Linked DNA regions of Mus musculus. The protein of the gene in region 1 binds, or shares a complex with, the protein of each later gene. Links are inferred from orthologs where the notes say so. Each region holds a gene or a part of one and is shown on either strand. Other genes may lie near its edges.

Region 1 (3,648 bases):
GATGTCTTTCCATTTCTTAGGACTTCCTATGTTTAGTTTTTGCCATTTTTATTTTGTGACCCTTTCACCTCTGGCTAACTCCTAATTATTTTATTCTTTTTACATCTCCTTCATTCTTGCCAAGTTCCTTTTTTCTAGGCCTTTCCAGTTACAGATACTGACTTTAACATGCACCTATGGATCGAGCATTGGACTTAGTCTGGTAGTTATTATGGATGGTGGATGCCTTCAGTAGAGTATTTTGTTAGGTGGTCTCACTGTGATCTTTAGTAGCTAGAAGTAAATATGATTTTTTTCTTAAACTACACCTGTAGTAATGATTTATTGTTGTTACATTACTACTAAGTTATTAATAAAGAACTTAAAAAAAAGTAGTATGCCAATTTCCTTGCTGTTTAATTTAGTGGCATATATAAATAGAACCAGCACAGAGAGTATTGTCCAAACAGCATATTACAAAGCTATACCTTTGATTAGCAAAATTGCTTTGTCACTAATGGCTGATATGCTAAGAGCTGAATACCTGAAGTCTTAGCGGAGCTGTAGTCCCCTGCCCACCTCTTTTTTGAAACAAGACTTTTACTATGTAGTTTTGACTGACTTGGAGCTTGGTTTGTAGACCACCCAAACTTGTAGTGATCTCCTGCCTCTGCTTCCTGAGCTCTGGGTTTATGGGCATGCACACTATCTCCATTTTTTTCCTTTTAGATTACATGTATGTATGTATATATGTGGAAGCACATGCCATAGCATGTATATGTGGAGGTCAAGAAGCTAAACTTGGGGGATTTGATTTTCTCCTTTCACCGTCTGTTTTCTGGGGACTGAATTCAGGTTGTTAGGCATGTCATCTTTACCACTGAGTGATCTTGTTAGCTCCGCCATGTTCATCTTTGACAATTTTTTTGATATATGATCTCATGGTCACACCTAACCTTCCTGCCTCTGTCTCACTAGTGCTGAGATTATAAGCTTGTGCCAACCATGCCTGTTTTTAATGTGGTATAGGGCTTGAGTCCAAGGCTGTATGTGTGCTAGGTTATCACTCTGTATACTAAATAGCTATAGCCTTAGCCCCTGACCTGTGATTTTAATGCCGCGAGGATACCAAATCTCAGTTGCCAACCTCTCTTAACTCTTTCTTTAGGGCAAGAGGATTATGACAGACTACGACCGCTAAGTTATCCACAGACAGATGTTTTTCTAGTATGTTTCTCAGTGGTCTCTCCATCCTCATTTGAAAATGTGAAAGAAAAGGTAAGTCAGGTTCTGCCCTTTGAAACATGCACAGAATTCCTGTTGCCCTGTTACAGTTTCAGTGGCTTGTGGATTAACAAAACATTTTAAAACCTTGCTTTTAGTGGGTGCCTGAGATAACTCACCACTGTCCAAAGACTCCTTTCTTGCTTGTTGGGACCCAAATTGATCTCAGAGATGACCCCTCTACTATTGAGAAACTTGCCAAGAACAAACAGAAGCCTATTACTCCAGAGACTGCTGAAAAGCTGGCGCGGGATCTGAAGGCTGTCAAGTATGTGGAGTGCTCTGCCCTCACACAGGTAAGGAGGGCTCTGGAACCTATGTCTCTGTAGTCAGTTGTTTTGAGCATTAGGATACAGAGGCTCTTTCCTTTTATTCTTTCTTTTTTCCCTTAAAAATTTGTCCGTGAATGTATACTGTGTGAGTGTAGTTCTGCAGAGTACATAAACTGACATGACTATTCCAAGGTATAGTTGAGAGGAAGGTTTTTTATTGTAGATATGAAGGAAAGACATCAGGAAGAATCCAGAGATGAGAGAGAAAATAGACTGAACATGGCCAGCAAACTGGACTTGGCCATGGTGGTGGTGGGGTTTGAAGGAAGAAGAGAGAGGAGGACCAAGAGAGGGCTGAAATAGAAGGGAATGAGAAGCTGGAGGTGGAGTGGGGTGGGGTGGGATGGGGGCTTCTGAGCTGGAGAAGTTGAGGGTAAGGAGTGGGTGGAGGTCAGCATGCACTTGGTTATGCTAATAGGCACCCTAGGTAGCAATTTGTCCCTTCTGCCAGTGATAAGGAAATGACTTCCTGAGGAGTGAGGGCTTTTTGTCCATCTGTCAGAATTTGGCCCTGACATTTCAACCTTTTGTTTATGATAAGGGCAACATAATCTCTTCTGTAACTGCTTCTTAGTTGAAATTAGGACATTGATGTCAGAGCTCTGGAAGACTGGGATGCCTGTTTAAGGTTGGGAGATTCCAGTGCTCTGAGCAGTCTGGAATGACAGAGACCACTATCTAGACAGTTGTCCCAGATTCCTGTGGTCCTGTTGCACTGTGGTCAGAGGTGGTCTTTGGCCATTAGGCCAGAAGAGGGAGGCCTTTTTTTTTTTTGTGGAGAAGGAACATGGGAGAGACTGACCTCATCTTGTCTTCAGCAACACTTAGCAATAAATCATAGCAGTAAGTTTTCCCGTGTCCGGTTTGCCCACAGTGCAGGCTGGGCCCTAGTGGGCAAGGCAGGGGCCAGTCTGTCCACTGGTCAATGTACTCTAATCCAGGTTTAGTCTTTTGTCATTCTGCCTATATCTTCTTGAAGAACTTGCAGAGGTGGGTTGTGTATCACTGTTAGGATTTGGGAGTCACTGTCATATAATAAGTTTAAGCATATTAAATGCCATAGTCAACAGGTCTCTGACAGGCTTGAGGGCTAGTACCCACCGAGCATATCTGAGTTAAACAATCTTTGTCTGTTTTCAGGTATCTGCGCTAAACTGTACCTTGCAAACATAAAACAAGGGGCTAAGTAAAACTTCATCTTGTAATTACGTCAATTCATAGAGAAACCTCAAATATATTTTTGGACACATTAAAAGATTTGATCATTTATTTATAAGGTTACTATCAACTTGCATTTCTTTTTTTTTTTATTAAGATTTATTTATTTATTATATGTAAGTACACTGTAGCTGTCTTCAGACACTCCAGAAGAGGGTGTCAGATCTCATTATGGGTAGTTGTGAGCCACCTTGTGGTTGCTGGGATTTGAACTCAGGACCTTCAGAAGAGCAGTCAGTGTTCTTAACCGCTGAGCCATCTCTCCAGCCCCTTCACTTGCATTTCTTAATTATCCTTAACAGTTGACAATAATTTAGTAGCTTCCTAAGATTAGGACTTTGTGGGGCTTTTTGTTTGTTTGTTTGTTTGTTTCTTTGTTTTCGAGACAGGGTTTCTCTGTGTAGCCCTGGCTGTCCTGGAACTCACTTTGTAGACCAGGCTGGCCTCGAACTCAGAAATCCACCTGCCTCTGCCTCCCAAGTGCTGGGGTTAAAGGTGTGAGCCACCACCGCCTGGCTAGGACTTTGTGTTTTATCTCTGTTAAGTTTAGATTTAAAAATTAAGATTTTGATTTTGCTCTTCTAGTATCAAAATAAAATTTCTAAATCTATAAATATAGTTTATAATTAGAGACTGGGCACATTTCTGACCTTTATAGAACATAAAAGCTTCCTTGGTAGCCTGTTTCTGTGGTCAGCTCATGTCATGTGTTGCTTGCGGTTTAGTTAGACGTGGATGAAGCCATGACTTGCAGCTTCTTTATCCCATAGCACAGATGGCAGGCAGCTGTTTGCTGTTTGTATCCCAGAATGGAATTGTGTCACATGGTTTATGA
Region 2 (3,748 bases), on another chromosome or scaffold:
AATTAGGGCCAGGCATGGTGATACAGGCCTTTAATCCCAGCACTCAGAAGGCAGAGGCAGATGGATCTCTGTGAGTTCAAGGCCAGCCTGGTCTATAGAGTGAGTTTTAGGACAGCCAGGGCTCTACACAGGGAAAACGTGTCTCAAAACAAACAAACAAACAAACAAACAAACAAAAGCAAAGCAAAGCAAAGCAAAACAAAACAAAAACCAAATAAAACAAAAACAAAAAACAAAAAAGGGGTGGGGGTCTGAGTTTAGGCTAGAGAGATTGTTGAGTGGTTAAGAGCACTGACTGCTCTTCCAGAGGACATAGGTTCAAATCCCAGAACACACATGGCAGCTCAGGACTGTCTGTAACTCTGACACCCTCACACAGACATACATGTAGGCAAAACACCAAGGCGCATAAAATAAAAATAAATTTTACAAAAGAAAGTAATTGGGGTCTGGAGAGATGGCTCAGTGATTAAGAGCACTGACTGTTCTTCCAGAGGTCCTGAGTTCAAATCCCAGAAACCACATGGTGGCTCACAGCATCTGTAATGAAGATCCAATGCCCTCTCCTGGTGTGTCTGAAGACAGCGACAGTGTACCCGCATACATGAAATAAATAAATGAAAAAGAAAGTAATTAGGGAGCTACAGGGGGCAAGAGTAAAAGATGGGGAAGTGAGTCATGGCCTTCTATATCATTGGCAACGTCCAAAGCTAGAGATTAGTTCATATGCCTTTTTTTTTTTTTTTTTTTTTTTTTTTTTGGTTTTTCGAGACAGGGTTTCTCTGTATAGCCCTGGCTGTCCTGGAACTCACTTTGTAGACCAGGCTGGCCTCGAACTCAGAAATCTGCCTGTCTCTGCCTCCTGAGTGCTGGGGTCAAAGGTGTGCGCCACCACGCCCGGCTCAATATGCCTTTAAAAGGAAAAGCTGTAATGCAATGGCCCTTTAGCACCTGGAGCCTTAGATTCAACCCCAGGCCAAGTCGGTGCTTTTGGAAGACGGAAGGAGGCTACACAGACTTGTGACTACTCTCTGCGTAGCTACCCTGAAGGAGAAGCTCTGCAGATGGCGTAGCTCTCCCTCAGTGTCCGACTAGAGCAAGGCTGATCTAAGCCTGTCAGAAGGAAATGGCCCCGCACAAAAAGGGAGAGGACGTTGGGAAGAAAGAAGAAAGGAAGATGCCCTGAGCTCATTACAAACTTGGATCTAGCCACGCAAATGGAGGAGGGCCCATGCCTGTCCTAGAGAGGAGAACAGGCCCTCTGGGGGGCCCTGGAGGACTTATTTCCCTTGTGGTTTATTGTACTTCCTGTTCCCCTGCTCACTGCGGAAGTTCCTCTTCTTACCCTGCACCCAGAGCTTAGCTGGAGAGGACTAAGGCAGAAGGCAGCATGAATAGTGGCCCTGGCCCTGTAGGAGGCAGGCCTGGGGGCCGAGGGGGACCAGCCGTTCAGCAGAACATTCCTTCCAACCTCCTCCAGGACCATGAAAACCAGAGACTCTTTGAGCTTCTTGGCCGAAAATGCTGGGTGAGTTGGGAGATCTCCTGGTCCTCCCAGTCTCCCTCCCTCTCCTCTTCTTCCTCTCTACTTCTTCTTCCCCGTTCTGCTTCCTCCTCTTACCCATATTTCCCTTCTCCTTGTTCCCATCATCCCTGTATCCCCCTTCTCCCCATCTCCTCTCCTCAGATTCACTCACTCCCCATTATCTTGATGTCTACTCCCCTTCCTCCTGGCTACAGCTCTTTCCCCAAGCTCATGAAAGCCACAGGCAGGCAAGGACCAGGCCTGGTGACCCATGAGCACACTGCACTGACCCCTGCTCTCCCCTCCTAGACACTGGCTACCACAGTTGTTCAGCTCTACCTGGCACTGCCCCCTGGAGCTGAGCACTGGACCATGGAACACTGCGGGGCTGTGTGCTTCGTGAAGGATAACCCTCAGAAGTCCTACTTCATCCGCCTTTATGGCCTACAGGTGACCCCATGCCCCACTGGACAGGAAAGCTAGTTCCCAACTTACAAAACCAGTTTTTGTCCACAGCTCCAAGCCTTCACTCATATCAGTGACCCCCTGAGCTCCAGAACCAAAGACCAATACAGATCCCAAGTTGTGTTTTTCTCATTCTGAGTCTAAGAAGACGGACCTCAGAAGGTTTATATCAAGACTTAGATCTGCTCCACAAATACCTGAGCCTCAGCCTCAAATATGTTCTAAATCATGTTGAATACTCTTAGAACTGGAATCTTAAATTCACAACGTGGAGCCTTCAACTCCTACATATAGGCTTTGGCTCCCAAACCCATATCTCTCATATCGGTGTCTGACTCTCAGACACCTAGAACCCAAACTCTGATAGTGAGCTGAAGCTGAAGAGCTTTAAATAAAACCCCGGGACACCAAACCTGGACACCATGCTCCAGTGGTCTGCCACCCAAGATGCCTGGATTTCAGCATGCACCTCCCCCCACTTTCCAGGCTGGTCGGCTACTCTGGGAACAGGAGCTGTACTCTCAGCTGGTTTATCTCACTCCCACCCCGTTCTTCCACACTTTTGCTGGAGATGTAAGTGAGCAGCTTGTGCATCCTTGCGCTGCAGTTGGGGGGGATGGGGAGGAGATGAGAAAGTCCCGGGGATGTGGGGGGCGTACTAGAAGTTTGCTGACCCCAAGGCATGTATAGGACTGTCAAGTAGGACTGAACTTTGCGGATGAGAGTGAAGCCCAGGCCTTCCGGGCCTTGGTGCAGGAGAAGATACAAAAAAGGAATCAGAGGCAAAGCGGAGGTAAGGAGGCCTTGGTGGGAATTGGGGGGAGGTAGGTTAGACAGAGGTGAGTGCACGGGTGTGAGGCTGGAAAAGCCCCTCTCATGGTTTTGGCTCTCAGTCCACCCTATTTAACCACAGAAAGACGCCAGCTACCACCACCACCAGCACCAATCAATGAGGGTGAGTCCTCTCGTTCAAATAAAGGTTATGAAGAACTAACCCAGAGATGTGGGGGAGCAAGATTAGGGCAGATCTGAACTCATTCCATTTTTCCAGAGAGAAGAGGAGGGCTCCCACCTGTGCCCCCACACCCGGGTGGAGATCATGGGGGTAAGTGGCAATTCTCACATCACTGGAGAGATGGTGGGGGTTAGTAGATGAATGAGTACTTGAGTCTGTCTGTAAATTCATAAAGAGGTGGATGGTGGGTGGACAGATGAGCACGGTGATAGATTGGTGGCAGACATGGCTAAATTGGGAGATGGACTGATGATGGCTTATAGATAAATAGGTACATGAGTATTTGGGTAAATGGATGAAAACTTACTTGCATTTAAGTAATGAATAGGTGGTTCAGAGAATTCATGAATGGGCATGTAAACAGATGAACAGTGGACAAAGAGGGCCGCTGAGATGGAACAGCGCTTGCCACCAAGCCTAGACACCATCGTTCTAGCCCCAGAATCCACATAAAGATAGGAAAGAAACAATTCCACAAAGTTGTCCTCTGACCTCCACACATGTGCCTTGCACGCACACACACATAATATACATTTAAAGAATTCAATCACAAAAGTGGGATGAGAGAATATTCTATCCAAGGAAGATCAAATGATTAGGTGTGAATGAATGAATAACTTAATAAGCTTTTTAGCCAACCAGCCAGAGAATGGATGAGTCAGTACTTGAATGGTAAAGACACATGAATTGGTGACTCTTTCAGTGTTTTTTTGGGATCCATCCACCGCTCTGTAGGCCTTGTT
Region 3 (3,648 bases), on another chromosome or scaffold:
TCCTGAAGCTGAGGAAATGGCCCAGTTAGAAGACGCTTGCCTTGCGAAGCCCCGAGTTCAGTCCCCAGCACCCAAGTAAAGAGTTGGTTACAGTGGTTGTGTGCTTATAATCCCAGCACTGGAGAGGCAGACAGGAGATCCCTGGCAGCCGACCCTCACTGGTGGGTCCCAGGTCCCAGTGAGAGATCTTGTTTCAAAAGAACAGATTGGGGGCCGAGGAGACTGCTTGGTGGGTAAAGTGCTTCTGTGTCAGAGTGCAGGCCTGAGTTTGGGTCTCTAGCGCCCATGTAAAAATTGGGCACAGCGGCATGTACCTGGGTCCTCAGTACTGGGGAGATAGGAGGATAGCTGGGGCTTGGTGGCTTGCATATACAAAGGTGGTATCTACTATTGCTGGGTATGGTGATATATAGCTGTAAAGGAGGCCAGCCTGGGCTACATGAGACTCTGCCTCATTCACCCGACTCCCCCAATATGGAACTACTGTTGCCATTCACTTTACTGAAGTAGTAAGCTGGAATGTTCTTGAATCTAGGCACTTTGAGTTTAGTGTGCCTCTCAAGATGGAAGATGAGGCTGAGTGATTGTGAGCACCACCTTGTGGCGACATTACTGTTGTCTGGCTATTTCCAGGCTTGGTCCATCTATCCCTGGTGGGCTTTCCACTTGCAAGCTCTCCTCCTTCCTTCTCTCCCTCTCTACTTCCTGTCTCCCTCCCTCCTTTCCTTTTTGAGACAGGCTCTCATATAACCTAGCTCTCAAACTCCCTACTATGTAGCCCAGGCTGGTTTTGAGTTCCAGTCCTCTGCCCTTACTTCCCAAATACTGGAATTACAGGCATGTGCCATTGTGCCTGGCTCACAGCAGCCCTTTTAAAAAACCAAGTAATTTTAAGGGCCTTTGCTTCCTTGGCCCACCCTCACTCCCTCCCCCAGCATGCCTGCCCCTGGGGAAGGCAGCCTTCAGCTGGCCAGCTGAGTCAGGTAGATAGGAGACAGCAGCTTAGAGTTCCTAGATCGATCCCCCTCACTCCAAAAGGCATCTTACTGGTATGAGGAGCAGGAAGCTGGGGGTTGTGGGGAGGGTGTCTGACCCTGCTGCCTCTTCCTCATCCACCAGGCTGACCCCTGCCCACAGCAGGAAGGCGCTGAGGAATTCCCGAATCGTCAGCCAGAAGGATGATGTCCACGTGTGCATCATGTGTCTAAGAGCCATCATGAACTACCAGGTCAGCCGGTGGCATGGGATTGGGGCCTCAGGAGATGGCTTGTCCTCCTGGGACCTGTGCTAGCTGCTGATGTCCTAAGACCCTGGGTCACCTCTTGCCTGGAACCCTACGAGCCTGGGGTCTGGGCTTTGGTGGGGGTCTGGAGGCTGGGAAGTTTTGAGGGAAAGCCCTGGGTTTGATTACATTCATGTCAGGTCTGCTGAGATGGCCTTGGGTGTGGTCAGGGGGAAGCAAGGGGCTCAGATGGGACCAAGGATGGTTGGGTAGTGGAGTCCATGGGAGGGCCAGCTGGTACAGCTCCACTTCTGTGGTTCCTCATCTCTGTAAACTTTCTTAAAACGTTATGGGATTTTGTGTGATTTTTTTTTTTAAGTAACTATTTCATGGCTGTCGGCATCTTAGATTACAACTTTGTATATGCCCCATATGTCAAAAGGTTGGACATGCCTGCATAGCCTCGCTATGTCCACAGTGCTTGGCACTGGCTTTTGACAAGACAAAATGACCTTGGAAAGGGGACAGGGTTGGGCCTTGGCTCCTTAAGAAGAGGTAATGGCTGGATGTGAGGAGTGTCCTAAGCTTGGAGCACTAGAGGCCAGAACAGCATGGCACAGACTACGCGGGAGTTGCTGGAAGTTTTGGGGACCTGCCTAGAGGTGCTAACCTCTCCTCTCTCCCCAGTCCGGCTTCAGCCTTGTTATGAACCACCCAGCCTGTGTCAATGAGATCGCTCTAAGCCTTAACAACAAGAGCCCCAGGTAAGGCCTATATTCCTAACTGGTTTTCTGCTTCCATCCTTGCAAAAACTCCTTCCCCCATTGTCAAGCCTGCTGCCCAGGCTCACCCCACCCCAGCTCCCCTGTCCTTCCCCTTCTCTTCTCAGAACCAAGGCTCTGGTACTGGAGCTGCTGGCAGCTGTATGTCTCGTGCGGGGAGGACACGACATCATCCTTGCGGCCTTTGACAACTTCAAGGAGGTACTGGATTTTCCTACCCAACACCCCTGCCTCCCCCTCTGCCCCCCATCCTTCTAGAACTGCTTGGAGTCTGGCTGCCAGAAATTGTAGCCTCCTCTGATAGGGCATGTGGAGACACAGGGTGGATGTTTGGGAAATACACAGGATATTGGGATGGGGAAATTCAGAATGTCAGGTTTAGTTAGTCAGGGGTATGGTCTAGTACAGTGGTTCCAGCCTTCCTAATACTATGACCCGTTAGTACCGTTCCTCATGTTGTGGTGACCCCCCCCCCCCACCATAAAATTATTTCATTGCTACTGCACAACTGCAATTTTGCTACTGTTCTGAATAGTAGTGTTACAAGCTCACAGGAGGTTCCTGCATAGTGACATGGTAAATAAGCCCACTGTGACAGGGCTGGAAATCTGGTGCAGCAGTTAAGTGTGCTCCCTGCCTGACGGTGGGGATCTGAGTTCAGATCCAAGCACCCATGTTATAAGTCAAAGTCTCTAACCCGAGTCTGCAGAGAGAGGAGACTGGATGCTTGCAGACGCTTGCTGATTTCCAGCCTAGCTGAGGAAATATGGCCTCCAGGTCCAAGGAGAGAGCCTGCCTCCTAGAAATAGGCAGAGTGAGAGAGGGGACACCCATGCTGTCTTCTGGCCTCTGCATGTACACACAGGCACATGAAACTCCCTCCTCTGCCACTATACACACACTCACACACACACACACACACACACACACACACACACACACACACTCACACACATACACACACTCACACACACACACACGCTCACACACACACACACATACATACACATGCTCTCTCTCACACACACACACATACACACACTCACACTCACACACATACACACACACACATACACACACTCACACACAAGCTCACACACACACATACACATGCTCACACACACACACACACACACATACACATGCTCACACACACACACATTTATCAAAAAAAAAAGTTTTAAGGCAGGGTCTCACTTTGCAGCACTGGCTGTCCCGGAACTTGATATATATAGACCAGGCTGGCCATGAACTCACAGAGATCCACTTGCCTCTGCCTCATGAGTGCTGGGATGAAAGGTGTGCACCACCATGTCCAGTCAATGAAATCATCTTTAAAGCTGGAGGTAGTTGAGCAGCTTGGTGCAGGCATTTGGGAGGGAGAGCCAGGAGGACTGGGGCTTCAAGGTCATCACCGGCTATATGGTGAGTTCAAGACCAGCCTAAGCTATAAAAAAACATGGGGGGGGGTGCAGGGGGAGGAATGCCAAAGTAAAAACCAACCCAGCACAGACTGCCTCAAAACAGGGGTAGGGGGCTGGGTGTGTCCATTCATTCTTTTATTGATGTTCACTGAGGGCTGATTATGTAGCAGGCACAGAAGCAGGCCCTTAGGATGGATATCTAAATAGGTGAAAAGGCATC

What was found.
Region 2: the proteins of Cdc42 (region 1) and Was are in contact, whole or in part, in an NMR structure (PDB 1CEE), measured with the Homo sapiens proteins. The link is inferred for Mus musculus from reciprocal best matches to the Homo sapiens genes CDC42 and WAS. Residues at the interface, in NP_001034891.1 of Homo sapiens: Gln2, Tyr23, Thr24, Thr25, Val36, Phe37, Asp38, Asn39, Tyr40, Ala41, Val42, Thr43, Val44, Met45, Ile46, Gly47, Tyr64, Arg66, Leu67, Leu70, Lys153, Lys166, Asp170, Glu171, Ile173, Leu174, Leu177, Glu178, Pro179; in NP_000368.1 of Homo sapiens: Lys230, Lys231, Lys232, Ile233, Ser234, Lys235, Asp237, Ile238, Gly239, Ala240, Pro241, Ser242, Gly243, Phe244, Lys245, His246, Val247, Ser248, His249, Val250, Trp252, Phe258, Leu263, Asp264, Leu267, Leu270, Phe271, Ala274, Gly275, Ile276.
Region 3: the proteins of Cdc42 (region 1) and Fmnl1 are in contact, whole or in part, in a crystal structure (PDB 4YDH), measured with the Homo sapiens proteins. The link is inferred for Mus musculus from reciprocal best matches to the Homo sapiens genes CDC42 and FMNL1. Residues at the interface, in NP_001034891.1 of Homo sapiens: Val36, Phe37, Glu62, Asp63, Tyr64, Asp65, Arg66, Leu67, Arg68, Pro69, Leu70, Pro73, Lys94, Glu95, Lys96, Pro99, Glu100, His103, His104, Lys131, Asn132, Gln134; in NP_005883.3 of Homo sapiens: Cys45, Met46, Asn47, Leu48, Pro49, Lys52, Leu56, Tyr59, Lys63, Glu66, Leu67, Asp70, Gln71, Phe74, Tyr83, Arg122, Glu123, Glu125, Thr126, Ser127, Leu128, Arg129, Thr130, Asn131, His132, Ile133, Val136, His228, Met232, Arg235.

The regions. Positions count from the first base shown.
Region 1 is NC_000070.6:137,326,624-137,330,271, reverse strand, and holds part of Cdc42 (cell division control protein 42 homolog), read left to right. Parts: intron 1-1,147; coding exon 1,148-1,257; intron 1,258-1,361; coding exon 1,362-1,559; intron 1,560-3,648. UniProt on the Homo sapiens protein: Plasma membrane-associated small GTPase which cycles between an active GTP-bound and an inactive GDP-bound state. In active state binds to a variety of effector proteins to regulate cellular responses. Involved in epithelial cell polarization processes.
Region 2 is NC_000086.7:8,088,071-8,091,818, reverse strand, and holds the start of Was (wiskott-Aldrich syndrome protein homolog), read left to right. Parts: upstream 1-1,327; 5' UTR 1,328-1,390; coding exon 1,391-1,528; intron 1,529-1,834; coding exon 1,835-1,975; intron 1,976-2,476; coding exon 2,477-2,563; intron 2,564-2,680; coding exon 2,681-2,783; intron 2,784-2,903; coding exon 2,904-2,945; intron 2,946-3,041; coding exon 3,042-3,095; intron 3,096-3,748. UniProt on the Homo sapiens protein: Effector protein for Rho-type GTPases that regulates actin filament reorganization via its interaction with the Arp2/3 complex. Important for efficient actin polymerization. Possible regulator of lymphocyte and platelet function.
Region 3 is NC_000077.6:103,184,502-103,188,149, forward strand, and holds part of Fmnl1 (formin-like protein 1), read left to right. Parts: intron 1-1,119; coding exon 1,120-1,228; intron 1,229-1,909; coding exon 1,910-1,986; intron 1,987-2,111; coding exon 2,112-2,205; intron 2,206-3,648. UniProt on the Homo sapiens protein: May play a role in the control of cell motility and survival of macrophages. Plays a role in the regulation of cell morphology and cytoskeletal organization. Required in the cortical actin filament dynamics and cell shape.